Xenopus tropicalis: one gene and its partners. The protein of the gene in region 6 interacts with the protein of the main gene of each other region in a pairwise test. Links are inferred from orthologs where the notes say so. Each region holds a gene or a part of one and is shown on either strand. Other genes may lie near its edges.

What was found.
Region 1: the proteins of golga2 (region 6) and rab2a interact in binary tests that used the Homo sapiens proteins (3 or more experiments, as listed by UniProt). The link is inferred for Xenopus tropicalis from reciprocal best matches to the Homo sapiens genes GOLGA2 and RAB2A.
Region 2: the proteins of golga2 (region 6) and smarce1 interact in binary tests that used the Homo sapiens proteins (3 or more experiments, as listed by UniProt). The two-hybrid records come from large-scale screens. The link is inferred for Xenopus tropicalis from reciprocal best matches to the Homo sapiens genes GOLGA2 and SMARCE1.
Region 3: the proteins of golga2 (region 6) and fam124b interact in binary tests that used the Homo sapiens proteins (3 or more experiments, as listed by UniProt). The two-hybrid records come from large-scale screens. The link is inferred for Xenopus tropicalis from reciprocal best matches to the Homo sapiens genes GOLGA2 and FAM124B.
Region 4: the proteins of golga2 (region 6) and ccdc87 interact in binary tests that used the Homo sapiens proteins (3 or more experiments, as listed by UniProt). The two-hybrid records come from large-scale screens. The link is inferred for Xenopus tropicalis from reciprocal best matches to the Homo sapiens genes GOLGA2 and CCDC87.
Region 5: the proteins of golga2 (region 6) and inpp5j interact in binary tests that used the Homo sapiens proteins (3 or more experiments, as listed by UniProt). The two-hybrid records come from large-scale screens. The link is inferred for Xenopus tropicalis from reciprocal best matches to the Homo sapiens genes GOLGA2 and INPP5J.
Region 7: the proteins of golga2 (region 6) and cdc73 interact in binary tests that used the Homo sapiens proteins (3 or more experiments, as listed by UniProt). The two-hybrid records come from large-scale screens. The link is inferred for Xenopus tropicalis from reciprocal best matches to the Homo sapiens genes GOLGA2 and CDC73.

The regions. Positions count from the first base shown.
Region 1 is NC_030682.2:116,955,775-116,959,830, forward strand, and holds part of rab2a (ras-related protein Rab-2A), read left to right. Parts: intron 1-2,405; coding exon 2,406-2,477; intron 2,478-3,395; coding exon 3,396-3,463; intron 3,464-4,056.
Region 2 is NC_030686.2:8,332,726-8,337,505, reverse strand, and holds the start of smarce1 (SWI/SNF-related matrix-associated actin-dependent regulator of chromatin subfamily E member 1), read right to left. Parts: upstream 3,112-4,780; 5' UTR 3,093-3,111; exon of another isoform or gene 3,021-3,092; intron 2,367-3,020; 5' UTR 2,332-2,366; coding exon 2,325-2,331; intron 657-2,324; coding exon 613-656; intron 1-612. UniProt on the Homo sapiens protein: Involved in transcriptional activation and repression of select genes by chromatin remodeling (alteration of DNA-nucleosome topology).
Region 3 is NC_030681.2:123,828,807-123,833,401, reverse strand, and holds the start of fam124b (protein FAM124B), read right to left. Parts: upstream 3,110-4,595; 5' UTR 2,953-3,109; intron 1,678-2,952; 5' UTR 1,597-1,677; intron 728-1,596; 5' UTR 718-727; coding exon 1-717.
Region 4 is NC_030679.2:48,339,160-48,343,215, forward strand, and holds part of ccdc87 (coiled-coil domain-containing protein 87), read right to left. Parts: intron 3,807-4,056; 5' UTR 3,776-3,806; coding exon 3,607-3,775; intron 2,578-3,606; coding exon 2,500-2,577; intron 1,677-2,499; coding exon 1,534-1,676; intron 1-1,533. UniProt on the Homo sapiens protein: Plays a role in spermatogenesis, where it is important for normal sperm head morphology. Also required for the acrosome reaction and thus normal male fertility.
Region 5 is NC_030677.2:144,062,070-144,066,125, reverse strand, and holds part of inpp5j (phosphatidylinositol 4,5-bisphosphate 5-phosphatase A), read right to left. Parts: intron 4,019-4,056; coding exon 3,468-4,018; intron 3,309-3,467; coding exon 3,201-3,308; intron 3,079-3,200; coding exon 2,970-3,078; intron 2,793-2,969; coding exon 2,676-2,792; intron 620-2,675; coding exon 444-619; intron 1-443. UniProt on the Homo sapiens protein: Inositol 5-phosphatase, which converts inositol 1,4,5-trisphosphate to inositol 1,4-bisphosphate.
Region 6 is NC_030684.2:22,909,628-22,913,683, forward strand, and holds part of golga2 (golgin subfamily A member 2), read right to left. Parts: intron 3,971-4,056; coding exon 3,857-3,970; intron 3,766-3,856; coding exon 3,541-3,765; intron 2,520-3,540; coding exon 2,420-2,519; intron 2,331-2,419; coding exon 2,242-2,330; intron 1,430-2,241; coding exon 1,273-1,429; intron 691-1,272; coding exon 623-690; intron 1-622. UniProt on the Homo sapiens protein: Peripheral membrane component of the cis-Golgi stack that acts as a membrane skeleton that maintains the structure of the Golgi apparatus, and as a vesicle thether that facilitates vesicle fusion to the Golgi membrane.
Region 7 is NC_030680.2:113,579,751-113,584,296, reverse strand, and holds the start of cdc73 (parafibromin), read left to right. Parts: upstream 1-1,454; 5' UTR 1,455-1,464; coding exon 1,465-1,595; intron 1,596-4,546.

The DNA of each region.
Region 1 (4,056 bases), on a different chromosome or scaffold from region 6:
AAAGGTGGAGTAAAACATCACCGGTGATGTTGTTTATAGCAGCTAATCAGATGCTTTGCTTTGATTTTCTGTATGTTGAAATCTAATTGCTGATTGGTTGCCCTGGGCCACATCACCGGTAATGCTTCACTCCACTTTTTACACAGCATGATAAATATACCCTAATTGTTCATCATATAAGATTCAAGGTTTTTGCAGATAGCAGAGTTCTGGACTCCAGTATTGTGGGATGTGTTGTCAGCCTGTGAGCCATTATGTTGTCCCATATACAGGTCCTTTTAAAAAAATTAGCATATTGTGATAAAGTTCATTATTTTCTGTAATGTACTGATAAACATTAGACTTTCATATATTTTAGATTCATTACACACAACTGAAGTAGTTCAAGCCTTTTCTTGTTTTAATATTGATGATTGTGGAATACAGCTCATGAAAACCCAAAATTCCTATCTCAAAAAATTAGCATATCATGAAAAGGTTCTCTAAATGAGCTATTAACCTAATCATCTGAATCAACAAATTAACTCTAAAAACCTGCAAAAGATTCCTGAGGCTTTTAAAAACTCCCAGCCTGGTTCATTACTCAAAACCGCAATCATGGGTAAGACTGCCGACCTGACTGCTGTCCAGAAGGCCATCATTGACACCCTCAAGCAAGAGGGTAAGACACAGAAAGAAATTTCTGAACGAATAGGCTGTTCCCAGAGTGCTGTATCAAGGCACCTCAGTGGGAAGTCTGTGGGAAGGAAAAAGTGTGGCAGAAAATGCTGCACAACGAGAAGAGGTGACTGGGCCCTGAGGAAGATTGTGGAGAAGGACCGATTCCTGACCTTGGGGGACCTGCGGAAGCAGTGGACTGAGTCTGGAGTAGAAACATCCAGAGCCACCGTGTACAGGCGTGTGCAGGAAATGGGCTACAGGTGCTGCATTCCCCAGGTCAAGCCACTTTTGAACCAGAAACAGCGGCAGAAGCGCCTGACCTGGGCTACAGAGAAGCAGCACTGGACTGTTGCTCAGTGGTCCAAAGTATGTCATTCGGAAATCAAGGTGCCAGAGTCTGGAGGAAGACTGGGGAGAGGGAAATGCCAAAATGCCTGAAGTCCAGTGTCAAGTACCCACAGTCAGTGATGGTCTGGGGTGCCATGTCAGCTGCTGGTGTTGGTCCACTGTGTTTTATCAAGGGCAGGGTCAATGCAGCTAGCTATCAGGAGATTTTGGAGCACTTCATGCTTCCATCTGCTGAAAAGCTTTATGGAGATGAAGATTTCATTTTTCAGCACGACCTGGCACCTGCTCACAGTGCCAAAACCACTGGTAAATGGTTTACTGACCATGGTATTACTGTGCTCAATTGGCCTGCCAACTCTCCTGACCTGAACCCCATAGAGAATCTGTGGGATATTGTGAAGAGAAAGTTGAGAGACACAAGACCCAACAGTCTGTATGAGCTTAAGGCCGCTATTGAAGCATCCTGGGCCTCCATAACACCTGAGCAGTGCCACAGGCTGATTGCCTCCATGCCACGCCACATTGAAGCAGTCATTTCTGCAAAAGGATTCCCGACCAAGTATTGAGTGCATAACTGAACATAATTATTTGAAGGTTGACTTTTTTTGTATTAAAAACACTTTTTTTTTATTGGGCGGATGAAATATGCTAATTTTTTGAGATAGGAATTTTGGGTTTTCATGAGCTGTATTCCACAATCATCAATATTAAAACAAGAAAAGGCTTGAACTACTTCAGTTGTGTGTAATGAATCTAAAATATATGAAAGTCTAATGTTTATCAGTACATTACAGAAAATAATGAACTTTATCACAATATGCTAATTTTTTGAAAAGGACCTGTACATAATGGTCATTTGGAATGTAACAAAAAAAAAGAAACAATTTCATCGAGTTTAACCTGTTTGTCTTAAAGGGGTGGTTCCCCTTTAAGTTAACTTTTAGTATGTTATAGAATGGCCAATTCTAAGCAACTTTTCAATTGGCCTTCATTTTTTTTTTTTTTTAATTGAGTTTAATTATTTGCCTTCTTCTTTCAATTCTTTGCAGCTTTCAAATGGGGGTCACTGACCCTGGAAGCCAAAACCTAATGCTCTGAGGCTCCAGTTTTATTGTTATTGTTACTTTTTATTACTGATTTTTTATGCAGGTCCCTCCCCTATTCATTTACCAGTCTCTCATTTAAACCACCCCTGGACCCTAGCAACCAGATAGCTGCTGAAACGCCAAATTGGAGAGCTGCTGAATGACTTCAGCAGTATATAGGGTAACAAATGGTCATTCTTCACAAATCTCGCCTCTGCTTGCCTTTAGACTGGACCACCTAAACCACTGTTTAATGTATTCTCATTTTATAATTTTTAGGCACTTTACTTTTTTTCTCCTCTTGTTTTGCAGGTGTTGGAAAATCATGTCTCTTATTGCAGTTTACAGATAAAAGGTTTCAACCTGTGCATGACCTTACAATTGGTAAGTTTACGCTGAAAAGTGTCAACTTTTGATTAACAGCTCTTTTGTTAGACACCCTTCAGTAATTCTTATTGCTTACCTGGTACTTTGAGCTGATACTCCTCTTCTTAAAAAAATACAATAGCATAAGGGCCTGATTGCTGAGCTATGTGCCACCATTTTTTTCCATACTTAAAAGCTTTTGCACTGCACATGCACCCTCTTAAAATTGGTGCAGGGGACACCTGTAAAAATGAAGACAGTACCACGGACTGGTGCATATATTAGAGGAAAGTAGTGCAATGCTAGGGTATCAAGTAATTGGCTAGAATTACAGGGGGTTCTTAACAACTCAGCCCCCCCCCCCCCCCCCAATGACTTTACTGTTCTTTCAAGCATTCGGATAGTAGTGGTTAAACTTGAACACAATGAATTTTTATTTGCACTTTATATAATTAATAAACATTTCACTAGCTACAACTTAAATTTGATTAGGCAATTTTCACTTCTGTATATATTGTAGAGATGCACCTAATCCAGGTTTTGGTTCGTGATTCGGCCTTTTTCATCAAGATTCGGATTCTGACAAATCCACGCTCCGGCAGATCCAAATCCTAAATATCATGTGACTTTTTGTCATGTAAACACAGAAGTTGAAAATTTTTCACCACACGTGGCATTTAACCCTTTCAAAGCCTAATTAGCATGCTAATTCGGATTTGGTTCGGTATTTGGCCAAATCCTTTACGGTGGATTTGGGGGTTCGGCCGAACCCAAAAAAGTGGATTCTGTGCATCCCTAATATAATGTAGAAAGCAGTAATATTATGAGAGCTTACTATTGTGAATTAATGCTTCTATTTTGTTTTTAAAATGTAACACACTGTATGAACTTTACAATCAGGATCTCTTAATTTTGCATATCATAATTATTTTGTAGGTGTAGAATTTGGTGCAAGAATGATTACAATCGATGGCAAGCAGATAAAGCTTCAAATATGGGACACTGTAAGTAATAAAGACAAAACAATATATTGTCTGTTTCCTCTGCCTCTTTTGTTGTACCACATATTCTGTCAACGATCTTGTAAGTTGATATAGGGCTGATTCTCGGGTAAGAATAAGCCATTCTACTGTCCTTCGATCATTTGTGTGTTTGTGCATTGGCCTGGGTGCAGACAAACCTGCTCTCTATGTCTGGTCCCAGGATGACACAGTACTTGTGACTGCAGAGACACAAATGAGCAGAGGCCAGCGGAGTGAAATTACCCTTAAAAGGGAATGCAACCCCTGCTTATCTCTATTGACTTAAATTGGAAATGTCTGGCTGCCCCAGTATTGACACTTTTCAGTCCTAAAACACCCTCTAGAACAGTGATCCTCTACCAGTGGCTCGTGAGCAACTCCTTCAATGTTGCCCCAGTGGCCTCAAAGCAGGTGCTTAGTTTTGTCTTGGAGGCAAGTTTTGGTTGCATTACTGCCTGTGTACTGCCAAACAGAGCTTTCTGTAGACTACCAGTCCACATAGGAGCTACCAAACAGCCAAACATAGCTCTTATTTGACATTCATAGAATATTGTTTCATACTTGTGTTGCTCCCC
Region 2 (4,780 bases), on a different chromosome or scaffold from region 6:
TAAAATACACTACCAATATTAATTGTAAGAGTGCCATATTGACTAGTGGCCTTTCCCAACCACGTTTAAGCTTAAAAGATCAGGTTGTACTTAATGAATCGTGCAGAGTAAAATGGGCTTAAAAAAATATTGCCGATTATCTTACATATTTCACAAGAGGGACTGAGGGAAAAAAGCAAAAAAAAAAAATCACACTTCACAAACGCACACAATGACAGCACACATCACACTGACGCTTAATGTGTATTTTATGAGAAGCAGGTAAGGGGATTTTATTCTATTATCCGAAATAATTGTATTGCCCATTAAAATATATTTTCTAATTTTAAGCCACAGAATTGTGTTTTAAAATTAGTGCACATCCGTCTATTGGGTTTAGGATTTGAGCTCAGTTTGTCTTGTGTGTAAAGTATGGCACAGCTGTAGCTGCATTTGCAAACTGTAACTATCATACAGGAAGCCATTTCACAAGGCCATTTGGGTCCGTTTGCGAACAGACTCGAGTCTAATGTTGTCATCTGGCACCCAAACAATCTTATGCAATAGCACCATTGATTCATTACAGTACTTATTCCTTTATCATACAATATTTGACAATTTCCTTCTACTCACTGTAGTGGGGGCCGGGGCTGGAGGTGGAGCATATGATGGTCGCTCTGTAGAAAACACAATTACACATGATTACATTTTTTTTTAATGCAGATCTTTAGCACAGTTATTAATGAAATGGCCTCATATGTATTTTCCTATTCTTACATGGGTTTTTATGATCAATAATGCACTATTTATTCAGATACTAAAATCCAGGTATCTATATTTGGCCTACGCGTTGGCCTTGGTAACAGTCTGAAGAATTAATATGAATTTGATTCTCCCTTTGCTGCTATAAAGGCTTCTATTCCACTGGTAAGGCTTTTAACTAGAAATACTGTTGTTGAGATTTACGTCTATTTAGCCACAGGAAGAGGGAGGGTCAGACTGGGGGGTGCAGGGCCCACTGGGGCTACCAACCAAGGGGCCCAGGAGGTGCCCCTACTGGCCACATCCCCCATCCTGGACAGGCCCCCGCTGAGCTTCCCTAACCCCCCTGCAGGGCCACCCTTACACCCCAGCAGGGCCCCCCACGCAATGTCCTCCCCTGAGCATGCATAAGTTTAACGCGTCAGGGGATGAATGGTCGGCTGGGGGAGCACCGGCAAGGGTTGGGTCTGGGCTGCCAGGGCCCACTGGGTTTTTTTCCCGGTGTCCTGGCAGCCCAGCCCGACCGCAAAGCAGGAAGCACAAAGGGGATTATGGAAATCAGAGGCCTTAGCAGAGACAGACCAATTTATTCTCCACCAAACTTTTCAGCTGACATTAAATCTTCAGCATACTTATGGTGGCCATAGAGGTTAAGATCCCCTCATATAGTGATGTTGCCCAAAGAGCAGATCTTTGTCCCTAAGGTGGGCATATCAGGTTAATTCAATTGTCTGACCCTAGGTCTAAACAACCAAATTACAACAACGGGCATAGGAGCTGTCCCTGATCCGGAGGGAAAATCAAAGCTGCCCAATGGACATCTGGTTTCAATTTTCAGTCGGATATCGGTCAGGGAGGCCTGTCTAGCAGTGGTGTAACAACCTATACAGCAGACCCTGTGGCAGTTGGGGGGCCGGGACCGCAGGGTTCCCTTTCCCCAAGCCTATCCTCCCCAGGACATTCGGTGCCATGAAGGCCTGGAGGGAGGAGTGACTGTTCACACCAGGAGTTCTCAAAAGATTTCTTTGCAAGGGAACCTGGTGCAATCAAGTTACGCCACTGCAGCCTAGGGACGCCATACACGGGCTGCAGACAGGGTCGGATCGGGATGCCGGGAAAAAACCCAGACCCAACCCCTGCCGGCGCTCACCTGGCCGACCCTGTCTGCAGCTTATTTGCCTGTGTATGGGGCCCCAAGGGGAGGGGGGGGTTAGTGGTACGAGGCCAGTGGGGCAACTGCAGGGCCCCTGTGACGCCAGCCCCTGTGGGCCCTGCACCCCCCAGTCCAACCCTGGCTGCAGAATTGGTCTGAAGGACTTGAATCAGAAGTTTAATTCTGCCCGTGTATGGCAACCTTTATGGCAGCCCAGGTGTAACCAGCAAGCCAGAAGGTAAAGCTCTGTTTAGCCCATGTTCTGTACGCGGTACCTACCTACATATGAACCGTGCCGCTCAGCCTACATGACATTTACTATTCTTCCATGTGTTTTTATGATCAATAATTCACTATTTATTCAGATACTAAAATCCTAGTGTCTGTATTTTTTTTTTCCCCAAACCATTTCGGCAAAAGGGAAACTTACTTGACATTTTCGCAGATTTTATTCAGTCCTCTCCCATAGAACCTGCAATGTAAAACAGAATGAAGTTAAAAATACATGCAAAACACACAATGTATATGGATAAAGCAGCTGAAGCTCCAATTTTATTGTTACGTTATATTACTTCTCTTACTATTCAGACCCGCCTCTATTCATACTCCTGTCTCTTTAAACCTGGTTGCTAGGTTAAATTGAAGCCTAGCAACCAGAAAGCTGCTGAAATTCTCAACTGGGCATTTGCTTCACAACAATACAAATAAATTGAAAAAACAATGACCAATTGCAAATGGTCATACAAAAAGTGAATTTATATGTGACCAGCCCCTTTTGATCAAATGGTTTGAGGGATAAGTAGAAGGTTGTGAGATTGCAGCCTAATCCCTATAAAATGAGGCCCATACTAAATGCACAAACTGCAATAGTTTAAACGTTTAGTGAGAGCCCAATGCAGTCTGTAACTATTGTTGCCATGTATAAAATCAATGTAGCCAATTTTAAAAGTGTTGTTGCTAATAATAATAACATTGTATAAGTGAGAGAAAAAATAAAGCAGGAATAGCACCCCACAGATGAGTTTCCCACCGAATACTGCATAGCCTTTGCCCCCCTCAGGCCTGCTGGGCCTCGGCTTCCCAAACCCCTCTGACTCCCAAAATGCCGCCATCCTTCCCCACATACCAAGCACCTCACTCTGTTTCCTCCGGCAGAACCTCCCACAGTACCACCGACCCGCTCCCCAGCCGCACTAACCTCACACCCCGCTCTGCCCTCCTAGCCTCTTTGTTCCCCTCACAGGAACCAGCGCCGCTATCTCAACTTCCGCTTCCGTACTTCCGCTACATCCGAACACTAGGGAGTAGGTACTATTGCATGCTGGGAAATGTAGTGCGCAAAAGCTGAGTATAGCGCACCAGCGTTGCCAGGTTGGCGATTTTTCCGCCAAATTGGGCTACTAATTTAATGCCCTGGCGGGTTTTCAAAGTATAAACCCGCCAAGGTACAGTTTTGGGCTTTTTTTTGGAGCCTTGGAGGGTTTGTAGTTTGGAAACTAGCCAAGGTTTTTTCTGCCTAGTGTGCCTGTTCCACTGCATGCTGGGTAATGTAGTTTGTATTTAATAATTAGCCTACAGTTAAGATTAATATAAACTACAATACCCAGCATGCATTTAGACAGTATATAGAGGCTCTGTTTTGTATTCCCTTTTGCTCTTTCAGGCTCCACCTGTATGTTTTACAACCTGCTCCCTGCTCCCTGCTCTATAGCATTTCCTTTGTCAGCAGACAGAACCTGAAACCAAACCATATGTGTGAGCATTCACAGCAGGGACTCTTCCCACACTGGGCATTTTTTCTCCAGAAAATGCAACCTTGCTGTTCAAAACTGGTTGATAATGACAACCACACTTTTTCTGCTTATACCCAACTGGGCAGGACCAGGGTTGCCAGGTTGGCGGTTTTCCCACCAAATTGGGCTACTAATTTAATGCCCTGGCGGGTTTCCAAAGTACAAACCTGCCAAGGTACAGTTTTGGGCTATTTTTTTGGAGCCTTGGAGGGTTTGTAGTTTGGAAACTAGCCAAAGTTTTTTCCGCCTAGTGTGCCTGTTCCACTGCATGCTGGGTAATGTAGTTTATATCTAACAATTAGCCTACAGCTAGGATTCATATAAAACTACAATACCCAGCATGCAATTGGACACTATAGACATAAATAATAATAAAAAAACAACAAAACACAAATACAAGAGTATTGTAGAAATGATACCTATATTGGCTAACAATAAAAATACATTGCAAGCTTTCGGAGCTCTAAGGCCCCTTCATCAGGCAAAATACGTGTTTTTTTATTATTATTTTTGACACTGGCTAACACGGTACTACAGTTTTTGTTTTGTGACACTATAGACAGAGGCTCTGTTTTGTATTCCCATTTTGTTCTTTCAGGCTCAACCCGTATGTTCTTTAACCTGCTCCCTGTCAGCAGAAAAAAACCCTGGCAGAAAAGGTGCAGACAGAACCTGAAACCAAACCATATGTGTGAGCATTCACAGCAGGGACTCTTCCCACACTGGGCATTTTTACTCCAGAAAATGCAACCTTTGCGTTGGGACATAGGCTGTTCGAAAGTGGTTGATAATGACAACCGCACTTGTGAAAATTACCAACTAAACTTGTTACTCTGCCTCCATATGTTTTTGGCGCTTGACTTTTTCTGCTTATACCCAACTGGGCGGTACCAGGGTTGCCAGGTTGGCGGTTTTCCCACCAAATTGGGCTACTAATTTAATGCCCTGGCGGGTTTCCAAAGTACAAACCTGCCAAGGTACAGTTTTGGGCTATTTTTTTGGAGCCTTGGAGGGTTTGTAGTTTGGAAACTAGCCAAAGTTTTTTCCGCCTAGTGTGCCTGTCCCACTGCATGCTGGGTAATGTAGTTTGTAT
Region 3 (4,595 bases), on a different chromosome or scaffold from region 6:
TTTGTTCCCATCATAATCTTGAGTTTGCCATCTGGCATCGCTGATGGGCACACAAGGATAGGGCAGCAAAGGAACCAATTGTCCTACTGCATGAATGGCAAACTGCAGAGCACACGCATCCTTAACTTGCACAGATATCCCAGGGTGCAGCTGCTTTATGGAAAGTTGGACAGACACATGTGTTGTAGAATACAATACAAAGAAACAAAATCCAGCTTTTTGGGTAGTTGCCTCCTTTTGCAGGATTGTTTCATAGAGTCTCACTGCATCTTCATAGTTATCACAGCTACAATACACAGTGAGTCTCACAATTTCTGTGCCATAATGGACATGTCTCATTTCCCACACAGGCATGTGGGAATCAAGACTATAATAATCACAAAGCGGCAGTTTAAAGGGGCAGGATCTTCCTTGCTGGAAGTCTGCGATAACATGAGTCCATGGAGGTAGCTGGAAAAAACTTTGCAGGAGATCAATCCTTTCCTCTCCCAAGTCCTCACGCAGGAAGAGTGTCACTGATATCCCTGGGAATTCAGGCCTTTTCGTTTGGCACTCATACAGCTTAATGGGAGCAGCCCGTTCCGACACAAGAAACAACCGGACATCTGGACATATCCTGTGGAGAAGACGGTCAACTGCAAGTTGAAAGGCAAGCGAATCACCCGAGCTGGCAAGAAGATGAACAGTGAGAGGCAAAACTGTTTGTCTTTCATCCATTTAAATGTTCCTGAGTTAAAAAAAAACAGAGAAAGTATTTAATTATAAAGCACAAACATATTCTGCAGCCCTATACAAACGGAAGGGTGTTACATACAAATACTGACTGCTGCAGGAGGTAAATGCACCAATTAATACATGTAAAAAAGTGGCATGTTTTAGACCTCCTGTTGCATGTCAGGATATGCATGGTATGAGCCAACTGAAAACACTGACTCAAAATGTGGAGCTCTATGTTTCCTATAGGCTTGAGTGGTCTCCTCCCTTAGTACATAATACATACCATACAGATCATAGCCCTCCATTTGATCTACACTTATAGTTTGTAAACCCATTTGTTAATTTAGAAATTAAAGTATTGCTGCATGTATATTACTATTTAAGAAATGATCACAGTTATTTATATCAATAACTCCTAGGCTGATATCAATGTGCCTTATATTTTTCTCCTGTGCACAGATGTATAAAATGGGTGGAGTATATAAAATTTCCTCTGCATGCAAAGAAGGTATATTCAATAAATAAATATTGCTTTCATACTTCTAGATAAAGTTCTCGAGAGCTGCAAGTGGTCCTTAGGGACAGGTTTTAAAAATGTACATATCATTTTTCCTTTTTACAGACTACCTTGTCTTATGTGTCTCCAAGTGACTGGTAAAAACAGAAACACTCTTATCCATAGTTCTACTTCTACATGGCCTGGTGCAATGTCAGCCTGCCTTGCAACACACACCCAACCATCACCATGCACACCCCCGGATGTCACTCACTGGCTTCCTTACATCCTACCTGCCAGTCACTCCCCTTCCACCAGTCGCCAACAATGCTCAGCCTGCACCCCCCACAATCACACCCTAAGAATGTGCCTATCCTTCCTACCGCTAGTTCTGGCCTTGAGTCGACCATCTTGTTCTTGGGTCATGTTGGAGTTCTTGGAGCCTTATGCTTTGGATCACTATCCTGCAGAAAGATGAACTGTCACTTTAGTTTATTAGCAGAATGAAACAGGTTCAGTTTTTTGCAGTAGCCATTGTTTCTTCTTTTCTTTCAAAATGTCCAGTCCCTGCTAGCAAAAAAGCATCCCCACATCATGATGAGACCACTATTACAGCTAAAGGTGGCTCTAAAAAATAATAAAGAATGGGGATTTAATATCTGCACAAACTCATCAACTCAATGCACTTATAAATGGAAAATCAGCCTTTCCGGAAAATGTTTCTACTTGTTCAGGAAAAGTCCTCTTCCTTTGATTGTATGCTGTACGCGACTGACTAAATCTGTGTCTACACCCATCAGTAAATGTGAACTTCAGAGCATTTCAAAATGTAAAAGATTTACTAAATGATGATAGTTTTTTTTTCCTGGAGAAAAACAAGTATAATTCCCAGTTCTGAGGTATCTGGCTAAAACATTATTTCTTGGTACTACAAAAAAAGGGATGGTGGGGTTTGAATAATACATATTAAAGATTAGCCATAAGAAGGTGCTGTTTTACTAGAGTCCCTAACTGTCTGCTCACAATCTTCCAAAAAAGCAGATAGTTCTAAAAATTAACATATTTTCATTGCATTAACTATTTATTGCTGCTGCCCTGGAATAAAACTGTTGATCTGATCATACAAACAATCACAATGATCACAGAATTTCTTCATAAGGTTTTGAATTCTGCTTCTCATCTCCACATCTACTTTAATACGGCTGCCTGTAGCTTTAATTGCAAGTCTGAACTGTAGTCTGGGGAGATTGGCTTGAGTAAATAATACCACCCGTTCTTTTGTTGTTATGAGATCCCAAAGTGGCAGTGTATTACTAGAGAAGGGAAATGTTTTGTACCGTATTAGCCAGTCTAAAAAATTCTAGGTAAAACTGTGCTGCTGTCCAATGACTGACAGTTGCCATCTATATATGAACAAATTATATAAACTGCATCAGTGACACTGTGAACCCTAAAATCAGTTACTGTTTAGGAGGATGGATGTCCAGACTGCGTAGTATAAACTTTAACTCCCATAACCCACCGTATAAACACAGGGAGTGCTGAGGCTAGAGATTCTGCATTAGCATACAATTCTCTATATTTAGATTAGTTTACAAGTAAGTTTCATAACTGGAAATAGGGTGAATTGCTTAAGCATAAAAAGCCCACAGATGTTAAGCATACACAATCTTGCCTATTCCCCAGATTTTGACTGTTCTTGTTGGGAAACTTAGAGCCTGATGTAAATCTTTACTAACCTGCTCTGTGTGATGGCTGGCTGCTGGCTGCTGCTTGAAGAGGAACGTTTCTGTGCTGCTGTACTTGTACTCAGAAGGAGAATGAATGCCCTGACCTTTTCTCAGTACTACTTCTCCTGGGAAGAAGCCCACCATTTCCAGCAGCAACTAAAGCAGAGTCTGAGCAATTGTGAGATAGTAATTTATGGCATGGGCTGCCACACTGTTCTTCCCTCCCACTCATCTACACTATAAAGGATTCACAATAGAGTTGAAGACTTGGTAACATTTTAGGAAAATCTTTTGTTTCTCTGTAACACTGGCTTAACTAGAAGTTACTTGCACCCCCTTTCCCACTAAACTTTGGTAATACATAAAATCTTCATAAACTTATACTGAAACTGCTTTTCAATCAGAGCCCCGCTGGGCCCTCTACCATCCTGGTCCCCAGCAGTTGCAAGGTCTGCTTCCCCTTTACACTATCCTTGTGTGTAACAGCCCTAACAAAAAAAAAGTATGTTTGTTACAAATATATATATAGTCCTTTGCACTTTGTGCCTTTATATGCCTGTCTATGTCAGCTGCATTAATGTGGAAAAGGTGCTCCAATTTGTAATACTTTGTTCTAATGCAAAGCCAGTGATTCTGCCCCCCCCCCCCAGTGATTGTAATTGCTAACATTATACCACAGGCTGGTGCTCTTGCTCACCGAAAAACTGCACCGGCACGTGGTACAGCCATGCTATCATCTTTTTCTCTATTCTTGATCTCCCCTTTCACACACAAATAAAATTAGAAGCAAAAAGCTTTTCATTCTACTGCACATATGTACCCTGGCTGGGGCTGCTCATGATGAGATGCTCTTACAGAAGTCCCCTGGGCAGGTGCAGTTTCACCAAACATTAGCACTAACCCAGGGGCTCAGGTATTTATTATCACTTGGGGTGTCTAACATTTTGCACCCCCTGTGATTATACCTTACCTTCTCCTTTTAACAACAGATTGGGTAGCATCTTGCAAACAGTACTGATGTTAGTAGCTAGTACTTGAATACAGATCCTTCAGATAAGAGCACAAAAAGAACAATGATACACAGGAGCACTTACCACACAGCCCAAGTGTGCTACATGTAGACCCGCTCCCAGATGGGTCCTGGAAATAGAATATAAAGAAAAAATATATAGCGGAGCACCATGAGGATAAAAATAAAAATCAGTCTTTATTCCATCAACAGTAAAAGGCACATGTACATCCCAATGGATGTACCTTTTACTGTTGATGGAATAAAGACTGATTTTTATTTTTATCCTCGTGGTGCTCCGCTATATATTTTTTCTTCAGATAAGAGGGCTGATTTGTTACAGTTCAATCTGGGGAATCCAGAAGGATTCTTTGCAAGCAAACACATTCATTTTCAATGGTTACTAGTACATATGGCTGCTCAGCAGTTCTACCACATAATTATATTTGTATCCCTAATTGTCAGACACGCAAAGTGCACTGACTGTCAAAATTCCCCTTGCTAGTGGCATGTATGGTCAAAGCAAGGAAATGTTACGAATGCTACTTTCATTGAAATTCTCACATAAGCTGGATTGTTTTAGGGACAAACTGGAGCCATGAAGCCCAGTATTTACTCCCCATGGGTATGAGCACAAAAGAGT
Region 4 (4,056 bases), on a different chromosome or scaffold from region 6:
TTAAAATATCCAGGTATTTTAGATCTCTTTAGGGCAGGGCTCTTTTTACCTCTTGTATTGATTATTGGTTGTTGTTTATATTTGTTGTGTGTTTTTTATAAGTTTAATGTATACAGCTATTCATTGTACAACACTACAGAATATGTTGGCATTTTATAATTTCAATACATATCAATAATATTTTTACAAATACAGGTATAGGACCTATTATCCAGAATGCTCGGGACCAAGGGTATTCCGGATAAGGGGTCTTTCCGTAATTTGGATCTTCATACCTTAAGTCTACTAAAAAATCAATAAAACATTAATTGAACCCAACAGGATTGTTTTGCATCCAATAAGGATTAATTATATCTTAATTGGGATCAATTACAAGGTACTGTTTTATTATTACAGAGAAAAAGGAAATCAGTTTTAAAATTCTGAATTATTTGATTAAAATAGAGTGTATGGGAGACGGGCTTTCCGTAATTCGGAGCTTTCTGGATAACGGGTTTCCAGATAAGGGGTCCGATACCTGTACTGGTTTAGAAAATTGCTTTAATATTTCTTTCTGCAAAACAGGTCCTATATCCATCTATTTTATGGAAAGCTGAGGACCTAGGTTTTTCCCAGTAAGGATTTTTTTTTATCATTTGGAACACCATACCTTAAGTCTGCTTAAAATTAATGAAACAGTTAATCAACACAATAGGATTGTTTTGCCTCCAATATGAATTCATGCAGCTTAGTTACTATACAGTACAAGGTGTTGTGTTATTGTTATAGAGAAAAAGAAAATCATTGCAAAATAATTTGCTTAAAATAGACTCTATGAGAGATGGAATATTTCAGAGCTTTCTTGATAAAGAGTTTCTGAGTAATGTACTGTATACACCACTGTGGATTTTTAGTATTTTGTATCTGGATTTTAGTCAATATAAGGGGCCGAGTCGGCAGCTTATTTGCCCATGTAGGGCATCCACTGAAAGGTCCACTTGACTGATATCTGAGTCAGATAAAGGCAAATTATTTGTCAGATCTCAATTGAGTAGGTTAGAAAATCCCATCAGGCAATGGGGCCAACAATTGCATCAGACAGATTTAGCCCAGTGTGAGGGTGGCCAAATAAGGGCCACATTGACATATTTGGGGTATTCCATGAATATCTATATTTTAATAAAAAAACTGGATTTCCTTTACAGGATTCCCTCTGATTTTGTCCTACTACAAAGCCATACACTGGTACACTATAGTACTTAAAATAGAAAAAGTATGCATCCCTTTCAACTTTAACAATAGATTCTGCAGGTGCTTTTCTTTTTGCAGAAAACCTAAAAGGTACCATTCGTTAACCTCCCCAGTGGAACTTCCTAACAGTGAACAGTGACAGTCATATTTACTGTAACACATTTTTTTAACTAAACAAAGGCTTGACTTTCTTAGTCTTAAATATAAGAAAATGCAGAGAGAAGAACAGACTATCATGAAATTAAAGAATTCAGCCTCAGTATAGAATATGTCAACACTGCAAACTAAGAAATAGACACATACAAATATTTGTCGCTCTTCTTTAGAACCAATATTCAGTACCAAGGTGGTATTCAGCCTCCTTTTTACTAGCTCACACACAGCATCTGGATGAATACCTGGAATGTGAGTACCATCCAGTAATGTAGGTATTATGTAGGTATCATCTGTAAGAGAACAAATTACAAGTTGCCACTTGTTATTAATATATTTCATGTATTTTCATTTCATCTTTTATTCATATCACACTAAATAATTTCATGCAGTTAGATCAGACACTTACTTATACATAAATATATAAAATGCAGATATGGTTTGTAATCACAATTCCTGGAGAAAAGTTTTAAAGCAACAACAAATGTTCAAAGAGAAAAGAAAATCAGTCTGCTGCCTGCTAATCGTGGAGAGAGAGAAACACCAGGAAAGCCAAATGCACCTCCTTCAGGTGCTTAAGTTGGAAAAAAAACCATCAGAACATAAGCCACATAAAAGTTTAAGGAATTATGAATAATAAAATTAAGGGGTATCTTCCTTAAACAACATGGTTAAATAGGAGGATGTAACTGTGCTCTGTGGGCTAAAAGCCAAAAATCACATGACAAGCAAGTGCACCCCTCAAGCAGGAGATTGCCGTTCAGATGAATAGCAGACCTGGGAGGGGTTGACAGGTCTCCTATTGCCAGAGAAGAATATTTGTGGGGCAGTATCCCCTGGATACTCAAGTTTTCTAGAACTTTAGGTCCTTTGTATAAAACCTCAAAGTAGCAGAAACTGGTCAAAGTTTGTCAAATTCTCTGGCTTTTCTCAATTCTCCTTTATAATCCTTTTTAAGAAAAACATTTTTTTTCTCTTTTCCCCCCATTTATTAAATACTACTTCTCTATTCCTACATTGCCCATAGTATCATTCTGGAATATATTTTTAAATATACATGCAGCTGTACTTTAATCTTATGTTTGTGCCAACCACAAAGGCTAAATTCTTTTTCACCTTTGAAAATACTTTCATTGATCTCTTTCTTGATATTACTTTTATCTTGTGCAGCAGATATTCCTCTGTGGGGGGTATCTAGAACACAAACAATAATGTACATTAAAATGTGTTTATTGCGTGCAGCTAAGAACTGATTGTTATAAGCAACAGTAAAATCAAAAGTATAAACAATTATGAGAATTGATCCAAGGAAGTGATTATTCTAGGCAAGGTTTTTGTCTTCTTGCCTGGAGAACATGCAGGGCAGTCAAGGCCCATATTGGCAGGATAGACAAGGCAAGAAGCAGGTAGCACATATTAGGAAGACAAAATAAGACTACATTGTCACTGACAGCAGGCAAGGATGCAGACAAAGCAGGCATGGTAGATACTGCTGGAACTGGATATAAGGTAACAAGGCATATAATACAAAAATGTAAGGCAACAAAGAATTAGGCTAAATTAGGATGAATGGTAAAGGCAGGAGTCCAGTAGCATTCATGATTGGTGCATGGACCTACAATTTGGCAACCTGTTTTGGGGAAAGTGTGACTTTTCGTCTACCAATAACATAGGTGCCACATCATAAGTAAGCAAACTGAAAGCTTGCTAACAACACAGTGACTATATTTCTGGTTTGAGGTTATGCTTTTAAACCTGATATTTCACTGGCAGGGAAAGGGTTAAGTAAGGCACCAAGTGTGTTGTACTTGTCAGCTGACATTAACCACACTCCCAAATTGGCTGAAACCCTGGCAAGGGCATTGTGGTACTGATATCATTGCTTAGATGGAAGCAGCTGGCAGAGGTGCAGCCTTTCACTTCTCTTTACAGTGAAAATGAGACCTGGTACTTAAACCATTTAAACTAGGGATTTGGTTTCGGATTGGCCAAGATCCCAGCACCTTATGCAGGATTAAAAGCTCTGGACAACAGACTGCAACAATTTTTACTCTCAATGGCTTATGAACTTCCATTATTTCATTCTGTTTCCTTATGCATAATAATACAGAAACAGAATACAGACAAAAGTCTGTCAATGAAATACAAATGAAAGTTCCATTGGTCGTCCATAACATTCTTGTAATTCCCATGCAATATTTAGAGCACTATTAATATTCAAACCTTTCAGATGAAAAGTACGATCAGACTGAGTGGGAAACAAGGTTAGAGCCTTCAGTCTGTCATTGTACAGTTGGTTCAGCTTCTTGGTGTTTAGCCTCTCCTCCTGCATGGGATACTCTTGCTTTTTCGTCCTTATTAGATTACCAGGGTTGCTCATGTCCTTTAACATGTTTATAGTGAATTCCAGAAGCAATTGAGCCCTAAAATAAAATGCGTGTAAACAAAAAGCAAATGATAAATGTTCAAATATAAGGGGTGTAATAAATAAAAGTATGACAATATTTTTCTGAGTGCATGAATAGTTAGATCTGGCACTAACATTTTTAGAGTGTTTCACCAGCAACAGAAAAGTGAATTGCTCCTAAGAATATCTGTCCTTTCTGTTAAAATAAAAAAGCATGGTATGAATATATAAAAACCTATAATAAATCTCAGATGGTAGTGTTACCC
Region 5 (4,056 bases), on a different chromosome or scaffold from region 6:
TAGATAGCATCACTGGTTCCCATAGAAACTCAGCTCTAGCTGTCTGCTCATCAATTTTTTTCTCCTAACCTCCTCTCCTGAGCTCAGCTCAAACAAAACAGAACTTTTATCAGATAGTTCTGCCTGTGTGAGCCTGCATTCCTGATGAAATGTATGCTGAATAAGGGTCTTTGTGTGTGTGTATGCTGTTTGCAGATTTATATGTATCTGATTCTGTATCAGAGGAAAAATGGCCACCAGCTGAAAGCTGCTATTTGCTTTAGTAAAATGTGATGGTGCTAGCAAATGGAGGGGGATATATGCAGTACAAATGATGCCATTTGGTTGGAGGAGACATGCCCAACAAATATACATTGTAGGCAAATGTAGGCTTTACATGTCCTTTAAAGTGGGCAACAATATAAACAGAATAATGGCAAAGACACTGAGGCAGAATTACTTACTCATGGTCCAGAACACCATTTGCCAGCGGTCCCTGGAACTGCTGAAGCTGCAAGATGCTTTCAAAATTATCCACTCGCTGATCAGTGTTCTCCATATGAGCCGGTAAATGGCAATTAAGAAAACATACCATGTGACCAAAAAGAGATAATCGAATGCTGACTCCACCCTTATTACCCTATAAATAAGGAAACATTAGGGCTCATTTACAATTGTTAGGTACTAGATCTGCACCCATAAAAATGCCATACACAATGCACTTGCTCCTACTTTATTAATGGGCCAATGTGCTGATGGCACAAAAAGCCCTGTTACTAACACCTGCCTTGTACAGGTAGTAAGTACAGGGCTTCCTTTGCATGTTGAGCCTATAGGCACTCACTGCCAAACCACTTGGCCTGCACACATGCCCCCCACCCCCCACAGGTGCAACTTTTAGCTATGAACCTGCAATTTTCAAACTGCCTCAAATCTTTGGATCTCAGTTATCAGTAGTAAATGTTGGTCCTGCCTGCAGCAATCCAGGGTTTAGCAAAATCAAGCACTTATTGTAGGATTTGAATTTGGCCAAAGCTTAACTGTTTAGCCAAAGCAAACTTTAAAGCTCTGGAAAACTGAAACTTTTTTGTTAATAATTTATGTTGTTATTTTTCTCAAATTTCAATATACAAATTAAGGTTTATATTCGGTTTGGGATTTGGCAGAGTATTTTTTTGAAATGTGAATTTGATGCATCCCTAGCAACTATGCTGGAATTCTGCTAAATGAATCATGTTATTTTTTTAATTTCACCCCACCAGAATCACCAACCAAGAGGAATTAAGATTTATTAGATTTATTTACACAATAGTACGGTAAAAACATAATCTTTGCTTGCTTTTTTCCTTTAGCTTAATCTGTTTCTCTGATTTTATAACACTTTCTATTAAACATTAAAGGAGCCCATATATCATATGTGAATTAAATCTCAGCTTGGCTTGTCTCCATTTACAAATTAATTTGATCCATTTTATGGCTTCATTTCCTATAAGTCCAATCAGCAGAATATGGAAGCCTTTAGTATAAGAGTCAATTTGGCAGTAGTTATGGGATTGTACAAGGACTATCCCCCATTTTTAAAAGAATCTTAGAAATGCATTGTGTAGCAGAACACAGCTCCAACTGTAATTCAAAAATGAGGACCTTGACTTAGGTAGGATGTTTATATCTTATTTACTGTGCATATTGGGATCCATAAAAATTTCTTGCATGGTTGCACTTAGCCCAGTAGCCTCCAGGTGCAAGGCCCTCAGGAGCATGCATATAGCGTATATATGAATCTAATTCAGCCAAGCATCTAGGAAAGACAAGTATTTGTCACTCCAGATTCTCTATATCTTGGTGCAGTACAGACACTGAGCAGTGAAGAGCTTTATCTTGGGACATAACTACTACAGGCAAATGCAAACTGGGTCCTAGCACCTGTATACTGTGCGTCTCTTTGTTGTTTATACTCCATCTTTAAACATACAACAACTCATTTATGAGTAGGATTAATATATTAGGACAAGACTTTTAACTCTATCTTAGACAATAAGGCACCACGTAAGGTTGTAAATGTTTATGTTAGATTTTACCAAAATTGTTTTGTTAAATAAATGTATGTCTGCCATATGCTGGTACAACAAAGAATGTATACATCCCTGCATACTGAATAAGTATAAATACAGAAATCAAGCCAAAAGTAAGAAAGTATAAATGTGGCTTGGGAAAAGCTACCCTTTAACAGTACTGAGCCTCTTCAATAGCGCCATTACCTATACAGAATTAAATGCTATAAAGAAAAGTATAGTCTAGTAAAGGGTTAAACAGAGAGGAACATTAAATGTCTCCCTTTAAGGCTGTTAAAACCATAAAACTATCATGATCATTTTTGCTTATTATCAGGAATACCTATGCTTACATTGATTTATGACATTTTTCTATAGAAGCACTGCAATAGCATTTGGAACTGCAGAGGCTATCATGCAGTGCTCCAGAACTCATTCTACTTAACTGTTTAGAAGCATACTATTTTTACTGGTGACTCTGGGAGGGTCAGATAACATTCATAACTGTCTATGCAACCACCCAATGGAAAATATGATTAATAAGGGATTTTTGTTAAAAAAAAAAATCATTTTTTGGTGTAACTGGAGTGTTAATAATCTATTCCGAAGAATTACTGTGCAGCCTAGAAACACCCGCACACTGACCCAGTATCCTCCGAGGCCAGTCCTTGTGCAGTCAGTCTGTATGTCCCGGAGGAAAGGCAAGTGGAAATACTTTGAAAACACCAGCAGCAGACAACCTTGCATTCTTACTGAGCTGACCTAGGGACAAGGGAAATTAGAGGGTCAGAACATATCACACATTTTGTTTTGTTTTTTTTAAATATCTTATGAATCGGCGAGCTCTAAAAAGTGAAAATAATGAATACCTTTAACCCCTTTTATGAAACAAAACCAAAGTAGGAAGCATGCAGTAAAGGATTATTATTTGGGCCTCACCAAAACATAGCTGAAAGGACTGAGGACATCCATAAAGACCTCGCTCCACTGATCGGAAAACAGAGCATCTTTCAGGCGTTTATTGATCATAGAATTGACCTCTTGCAGCCTGCAGAGACACAGCAGGAGTGACCGTGACTCATTTCCTATTGCACTTTCAGCTATTAATATAAAACAAATCTCATGCACGTGTTCACAGGAAATGCATAGACAACGAACTTTAATTCTTACCCGATAACAAACATATCGATTTTATCATCTCTAGCATTGAGGCAGAGGAGGGAAGTAAGGTCCGAGGGTGGCACAGCACATCCAACATTCCATGTGATAACATATATCCTTGTAGTCAGAGTAAAAAAAACAAATATAATAATGAATGTGTACTGTAAATCTACCCAAATTCACCTACCATAACTGCTTAATATTACCAGATTAGGAAGTTTTATATTTTTTTTTTTAATTTTTGTTCGTGGCCAAGAAAATCTTTGGAAATGTTACCTGAAGTCCTTCCCTGCTACATCCACTGTACTATCACCTTGGGATTTGTCGGCTTTTGCTGGGGAAGGTCGAATGCATTCAGGGGTTGGATGCTGGTCTTGGGGTCTAGAAGTGTGTGCTCTGTGCGGAGTCCTGGGGACATCAGGTGATCCTCTAGGACTTAGGACAGGAGAGCGATGAGGAGAGGATGGAGGTGGAGGCAAAGGTGGGTACTGCCGGGTAGGGGACAAGAGACTAGGACAGGATCCCTCAGGCTGTGATCTGCCAGATTCCACTCTTACATTTATTGGGGATCCTAAAGGATGGAGCCTCTGAGATCCTTCTGGTTGGGATCGGTCAGGGGCAGAAGAGCCAACAGGTGAAAGAGGACGGGTGGAGAACTGTACCGCTGTGAGGGGAGTTTGGAAGCTACTTGATCCTTCAGGTTGGGACCTACCCGAGCCTGCAGGGCTGAGCCGGGGAGATGGTAAAGTAGTGGGTCTGGGAGGAAGCTCAGGTGAGGGTGGAGCAACAAACACACATTGATCAGGATAACGTACATGTGAATCCATCTGCGGAAAAACCACATATACTTAATATTAGATATTTT
Region 6 (4,056 bases):
CTCACACTTAGATCAGTTTAGAAAACTCCAAAACTTCATATTTTGGCCTCGAATAGGATTGAAATGCCTTGGGGATCTTACCCTAGACACAGGTTTCCCCTCCTACCAAGACATCTCCCAAAAATACACCCAACACCATATTTCATTCTACCAATACCTAACAACTCAGACATGCATTCAAGGCCCAATTCTCATCTCTCCAACCAGCAATCCGTATCACTCCACTAGAAGAGACCATACACTCACCAGACAAAATTTGCCTTCTGGGTGTCTTGGGCGATATCATTCCAACCAACTATGCTTGCAACAGATAACGGTCATTGGATGGGAGCTACCTTACCTAGTGCCCCCCTCATGGCAACAGCTAGTCAACAAGTCGATACCACTTATAAAACTTACCTCAGAGGTTAAGGGTACCCAGAACTAATTTGAACGTATCTGGCCACCCTGGTTGGACTTAACTAACTATACTTACTCCAATGACTCTAATGTACATTTTAAAGACCTGGAAACTAAACTTATACTAATGTTGAGGGTCCCTTGATTAATGTATACAAACCATAGTATTACATGCTCAGGGGACAGGACTAATCAGTGAATGTACTATGTAGGCATTACTCACCTGTAACTTCTCCATGGCACTTTGCAATGCATCATACACCTCTCTGGGAATGCTGTCCATACCGAGATCTATGGATGGAAAACAGCACACTGGTATTTGCATAATGGTTCCAGTTTAATACAAACCAGTGGTACCTATAATTTTTACAACTAAAGGAGCATAATTAGAAATGGCCCAATCTTATCTTACAGCAGTGATCCCCTCCACATAGGGGCTACCAATTACCCAATAACAGCCTTTATTTGGCACCCCAGGTACAAGTTTCATGCTTGTGTTGCTTCCCAACTCTTTTTACACTGAATTATGATTTAGGAATAAAAAGGTTGGGGACCCCTGCTCTGCAGGTTGCAATAGGGATACTGGCAAGCAGTTAAACATGGGTGAGATTCACAGGTCAAGGCTGGAAGGCAGTCTGCTCTTTGATCACTTCCTTGTTTCAGGCCTGGGTCAGGTTATGGAGTGTAATGATTAATGGTAGGCCTAAGTGGGTACAAATATTTATTGTGGCTCCCCTATTAGAACAATGCAGTTCTCTGCTTCTTTGTAAAGTGGCTAAAAAAAAAGTTCTATTTTGGGGTTGATGGATTAGGTAATGATAACTGAAAGCAATTGCTACAAGTTGGAGGCATGGGCATTAGATGCAGTATTACCTGCTGCATGATGCATGGTCCCAGATGACTGCTGCCGCCTTATTTCCGATATCTGACGCAAGAGACCTTGACAGTACCGCTTTTGTTCCGCCAGCTGTCTTTCCGTTTCTTCCCGTTCCCCTTGCACCTTTGCTATGGCTGTGCTTATAAATGCTACCTGCAGGAAAATACCAGGTTGGTGAAAGAGGATCATTAAAGGGGGTGGTTAACCATTACGTATGTTATAGAATAGCCAGTTCTTAGCAACATTTCACTTGGTCTTTATTCATTGTCGTTTATAAATTATTTGCCTTTATCTTCTGCTTTTTGAGGCTACAATTTTACTGTTATTGTTATTTATTACTTAGCTTTCAGTTTAGACCCACTATTTATATTCCAGTATCTCATTTGAACCACTACCTGGTTGCTAGGGTGAATTGGACCCAAGCAACCATATAGCTGCTAAAATTCCAAACTGGAGAGTTGTTTAATATTCAAAAACACAAATACAGGTATAGGATCTGTTATCCGGAAACCTGATATCCAGAAAGCTCCGAATTACGGAAAGCCTGTCTCCCATAGACTTCAATTTCAATCACATAATTCAGATTTTTAAAATTGATTTCCTTTTTCTCTGTAAAAATAAAACAGTGCTTTGTATTTGTTCCCAACTACGATATAATTAATCCTTCCTGGATGCATAATAATCCTACTGGGTTATTATTAGTGCTTTATAGATTTTTTAGTAGACTTAAGGTATGAAGATCCAAATTACAGAAAGACCAATTATCCAGAATACCCTCGGTATCGAGCATTCTGGATAACAGGTGTTATACCTGTAATACAAAATGAAGACCAGTTGCATTTACAGTTCCAGAATAGCACTCACTACAACATCCTAAAAGTTAATATAAAGGTAAACAACTCCTGTAATAGGAAGACTACAAATACAGGATGGATCAGTAGAGCTTAAAAACTTTTGACACTCACCATCTCTTCTCTGTTTTCAAAGTCCTCAGGGATGTCCAGTGAAGTCTTTAGAATCTCATCTTCATACACTTCACTCTCCACTCCATCTCCTGGTAGTTAAATATATAGGGGTGAGATTTACGTCACAGTGCAGGAGAACCAATATCAGTGCTATAACAGAGCACAGCTCATGCCTCACCTTCCATCCTATTGAGCACTCGGCTGTCTGGCTCACTCCGGATCTGTAGCACTTGCGCTCTCAGCTCTTGGTTTTCTTTAGTGAGAAGCTCCAGGTTTTCCTGAAATACAAAAAAAAAAATATTTACTATTGCAGGTATGGGACCTGTTATCCAGAATTCTTGGGACCTGGGGTTTTCCGGATAAGGAATCTTTCTTTAATTTGGATCTCCATATAACTTAAGTCTTTTAATATTGAATAAACCCAATAGTCTTGTTTTGCCTCCAGTAAGGATTAATTATATCTTAGTTGGGATCAAGTACAAGGTACTGTTTTATTATTACAGAGAAAAAGGAAATCATTTTTTTTTAATTAGAATTATTTGCTTATAATGTAGTCAATGGGAGATGGCCTTTCTGTAATTTTCTTTCTGGATAAGGGATCCCATACCTGTATACCAATTTAGTTCAGTATTTTTTATACTTATTTATGTACTGTGTGTACTATTTTCTAATTTCCTTATCTCTTCCACAAGCCACTCGAGGAGGAGCTGTAGAGTAAGTAGATCTGATAAGGCTGAGTTTTTAGCATGGGTTCCATTTAGTAAAACTAAAGGAGCATCATCAACATCAATCTGTATCTGGGTGATTTTGCCAATGTCTATAAAGGAGAACTAAAGTTAAAAGAAGCAGGTAAAAAACAATAAACATATGTTCTAGGGTTCCGCAGAGGTCCAAGGCAACTACAACACTTTAACAGTGAAGATCTTTTATAAAGAGTAACTCCAGCCATGAATGACTGGGCCGCGACAATTCACATTACATGTTCCTTCAGTTGCCTGTTCTGGGTTAGTGCTTGAGTTTTGTAGACCAACACCTGCCCACCCAAGGGGTGCTTCTAACCACTGCTCAGGAAGAAATAGCCCAGCAGATCACAAGTAGGGGAAGGTCAGAATAAGACAGTAACTCTCAGCAGAAAACACAATAGGCATACATGTATTATGTAGCTTTATGATAAATAAATGCCACATGTAGCGCTTTTTTTTCATGCAGGCTAAGTAATGTTTGTGGCTATTTTGAGAACTTCCCACTGACTTCAATGGCAGACATGCAAAAGTGCGGGAGCCACAAGCTGACACTTACTCTGCTCTGTTGCAACTCCTTGAGGTGCATCTCTGCGCTGACCTTCCCCTGCACCTCCTCGTGCTGCAATCTGTCCATCAGCTGAGCCTGCAGCAGATACTGCCTCTGGATCTCCTCTTTCTCAATGGAGACTTGCTGATATGCTGCACTGTACTGCTGGAGGTGAGCGGAGACCTCATCTCGCTGACTCTGCAGAATCTGTATGTCCTGCTCCTTTGCAGCCAGCTGGTCAAGAAAGGACACACAGAGAGCAAATTGGTATCACTATGTACAGCCCAATGAAACAGCATTTATAGATACTGCATCCATTGCTGACCTGCTCTTTGAAATCGCCCAGGGTCTCCTGTAATTGCCCCAGCTTCTTGGCCAGCTCCTTTTTCACATGCTGCTCACTCTGTAATGCATTGGTGAGCTCCATGTTTTCATTTGTCTGAAAGAATTACAGAATAGTAAGTGGATCAGTCATAGTCAATATATTGACATACCAGGGTTATATATGGAAGGTCCAAAGCAAAC
Region 7 (4,546 bases), on a different chromosome or scaffold from region 6:
GTCTTGTCATTCAAGCAACAAGATGGATAAGAAAAAGGATTTAATACATTTGGGCGCAGCGCCTATAACATGGCCTTTACTTCCTTGTTTACGCATACTCACTCAGTAGAGCAGGTACACAACCTCTTTTACCTATGAGTCACATTCAAATATAAAAAGAGTTGGGGAGCAACACAAGCATGAAAAATGTACTTGGGGATAGCAAATAAGGGCTGTGACTGGTTATTTGGTAGCCCCTATGTAGACTGACAGCCTCCAAGTCAGGAATTAAAAAATAAGCACCTGCTTTGAGGACACTGGGAGCAACATCCAAGGGGTTTGGGAGCAACATGTTGCTCAGGAGCCACTGGTTGGGGAACACTGCAGTAGAGGATCCAGAAAGTATGTAGGGGTGTTCTCTGAAGCCATGTATTGTATGGCATGAAACAATTGTACAAGAAACTGTAATTATATCTACAGGACTGGATTTCTCTTTAGGCACTCAGAGGCTAGCATCCTCAGCTTCCCCCCACCCCTCCCACAGGGTCGCGTCCTACATCTGGCGCACAGGGGACAGGGTGCATGGAAACCTCCCGTGCATAATCCCCAGTGCCCTGCATGTAAGTAAACTTCATGTGTGGCTTGGGCGGCATGCCGGCCCTGAATGTGTGCTGCCCTAGGCCTAATCTTCATGGCCTTGCCACAAATACCGGCCTGTATATCTACAAACATGAAGTTCTACCTTTAATTGTCCTTAAAAACTTGCAGTAAGATGATCAAATAGGTTAAATAATTGATTGATCTTAATTTGTTCTGTTGTGGTGGGAATATAAAACAACAGTACATCACCCCATACCAGCTGCCATTCTCTTGCTATGCACATTTCTATAAATATAATTTTTAGTCATTTTGCACATCCCTACCCTAATTGCTATATCTTTTGCACATCCCATACTCCTAGGCATAAAAAGTATATACATGGAAATAAGGTGCAATTGTTAAATAAGAATTTCATTTTAAAAAGAATGATTTTCTTTTTTTAATGTGCCCTTGTTGATCAAATAATACTTCTATTTTGCTTTTACCCCCAGATTTTACCCATTGCACCCAATAATACTGGAGGCCCAAAACAAATACACCGTTTGGTTTTCACAAACTGGCAGAGTTGTTTACACTACCTAGTTACCAATACCTACAGACGGGCATACCAACATGCAAGAGATGGATTGCTTTTGCGCATGCGTATGGCCTGCATTCTGAGCAGGCATTTCCTGGGACACCTCTCGCGTTTGCGTCCTTGTTGTAGATGGTTCCGGCTCGCTTGGCTCTTTGGTCCTGTGTGAGATCTGAGCAGGCATTACATAGGGCAGCTTGGCCCTCCTGGGTCCTTGCTGTTGTCGGAACAGGCTTTCGCTTAAGCAACACCACCAGTAGGTTGTACGCATCCTCGGGAGTAGTGAGGAGGCGGAGGAGGAGAAGAAGAAGATGGCGGACGTGCTGAGCGTTCTGCGTCAGTACAACATCCAAAAGAAGGAGATCAATGTGAAAGGAGATGAGGTTATCTTCGGGGAGTTCTCCTGGCCCAAGAATGTTAAGACCAACTATGTCATTTGGGGGTGAGTATGGCGCAGAAGCGGGGAGCAATCGCTGTCATTCTGTCCTTCCCCTGTTTGGGTGCTCACTAGGCATGTGCAACACACACACACACATACACACACACACACACACACACACACACACACACACACACACACACACTGCACTGGCCCCGGGCCAAGCACAGACAGATTTATCCAGGTAACTCCAACCTGTAACTCGTGGTGCCTGTGCAACTACAGCTCCCAGCATCCCCAAATTCTGTCGAAGTTTTGAGGGACTGTGGCAGCTGCCGTTTATGAGCAAAAGTAGAATCCCACCCATAGGAGTTCGGCATAGGTTTCTGTAGCGCCCAACTCGGCAGCGATCACTGTACTACAACTCCCAGAATCCCAGGACAACCTTATTCTGCCCAAGTGCTGCTGAGAGCTGCACAAAGTCCCTGAAATCACTACTGACTATATGTGTATGGCACACTCTCCCCACTTGGGCAAATAGACTCCTGGCATTGCCTCTTATTTATATCGTTACATTACTATTCACACATGCTGTACATCCATACCTTCCTCCTCTTACTATCTGTGTCTGTATGTATCCATTGTGACTAAATGTGCCTCCCCACAACTTACTGAACTACAAATCCCAGCAAGTGTAAAGCTTTAATAGATGCTTAGGATTGTGGGAGCTTTAGTCAGGCAGCATCTCTGGCCTGCACACATAGTATTTATGCTTTCATGTTTGCATAGAAAGGTAACATCAGAAGGATACAGTTACACAATAGTATTATTTTTATGTATGTAAAAGTAATGAGATTTTGAAAAGCTGTACAGGTGCTTTTTTCATGCAAGTTAGTCCTCCCCAGCCCAGATTAAAGGGGAAGTTCACATTATCAAAAACATAGTCCTTTTGTGTAGTTAGGATAATTTTTAGGTATTTGGGAATTGGAAAAGGCGAATTTACTCATGGATGCCAATATGTGAGGCACCCATCAGGGAATTAAAGCCCTACTTTTTTTTTACCTTGGAGAAAGAGCACAACACAATGCAGCCACCTACCCTGACCCAGGTGTCCCAAGCACAGATTTAAACAAGAACTCAAAAATTAATATATATAGAAATGCTTTATTTTATTTTTTTTTTAAACATCTTTTTATTGGTGACTATAAAGGCAATACATGCTACAGGCAGTACGATTCCTTATAGCACTTTTCAAATAGATATAATTTAAAATGTCATACTTTATATATTGAACTTATTGAACACCCCTAAAGGGTTAGCGTTTCTGTAGTAGTAGTTATTATTGAGGACTTCAAAATTGTGCACAGGAGCTCCCAATTTTAGATTGTTAGAAGTGTCAGTAACACTGCACATACTCTGTGTTCTCAGAGCAGCTGTTCTGTTGATAAGCTAAGCTTAGTGGTTGTTACAAATTTTTGAGCAGAAAATGTGTTTTGCCTGTCATAGAAGCTGATGCTGCAGGGTTGATTATTACATACTGATGCACATTGCACTGGTATCAGAGCTGCCCTGTACTAATAATCTGTATTATTGTGACATTTATACTGTGTACATGCACTGTTTTGTAAGTTAGTTCAGCACAGAGCATGTGCAGTGCGTCAGCAGAAGGAAGATGGGGAGCTACTGTAGGTATATTTCGGGGGACAGATCCTCCAAGCTGAATGGCTGTTGTTGCCTTGTGTTGGTACAGAAGCACAAAACATAATGTGCTGCATTTCTGCTCTACTTCTCAAACTTTAGTTCTCCTTTAAGCCCATGCAAGTGCAGTGGAGCACAATTAAAAACTTTTACTCTGTTGTACAGGTATGGGACCCGTTATCCAGAATGCTCAGGACCTGGGGTTTTTCCGTAATTTGCATCCTCATATTTTACTTAAAAATCATTTATAAATTAAATTAAGCCAATTGGATTGTTTTGCCTCCATTAAGGATAAATTATCTTAGTTGGGATCAAGTACAAGAAACAGAGCAAAAGGAAATATAAAATTTTTAAAATGTAAGTTCTTTCCTTAAAATGGAGTTGATGGGAGATGGCCTTTCCGTATAACTGGTTTCCAGATAATGGGTCCATACCTGAACATTTCAAAGGCTATGTCTGAAGAGGGACAGCTGGGAAATGCTGGTAACCTGGCTGTGTTGCTGCATTACTTTTTCCCCCTGGCTGGTTTTATTTTATTTTTTCCTAAAAAGAGCATGGATGGAAAGTATGGGTCAGGGACCCCCCCTTCCCACATGGATTGGATAGAGGCGTACTTGAATAAACACAAAGCAGTCAAAAACATTTTTGAAACATGGGAATCTTTTATTAGTATAATTCCACATGCACTGAAAGTTAAAATACTGCTTTAAAACTACCAATTGGTATATAACAGACTCTGAGAGGTAACCCACCTATACAATTAGAAACAGAAAGAGAGGTTAAGGCTGATGCCACACGTGGCGGTTTTACGCTGCGTATTTTCTAATTCTCTCGGCGGTTGAAAAACGCACAATATCATCATCCATAGAAATAACTTAAACAGTCTCGATGCTAGAAATACGCTAGAAAACGTGTCACCACGGAATTTTCATGCGTTTGCCGAAATACGCCGTTATTTGCACAGCAACCTATTCCTTTGTGTACACAAAAGCAGCTGCCAGACCTTGAGGAAATATGCAGCGTTTTTACTATTTCGCACTATTAGCACCATGGGAAACGGGATTTGCTACGTCACCAGTACTAGGCTGAAAAACGCCATAGTCAGGGGCTGTGTGGGTTGTGCAGCGTTTTTAGGCGGAGAAAATACGCAGTGTAAAAAAGCCACGTCTGGCATTCGCCTAACCCTAGATAACCTCCAATACGAACTTAACCCTCTGAAGGAGTAAATTATTAGTTTATAAAAAAAAATATATATGGTACTTTCTATTACAAGATACAATTATAACTTAGCAGTGCATCCAATGATCCACGATTTA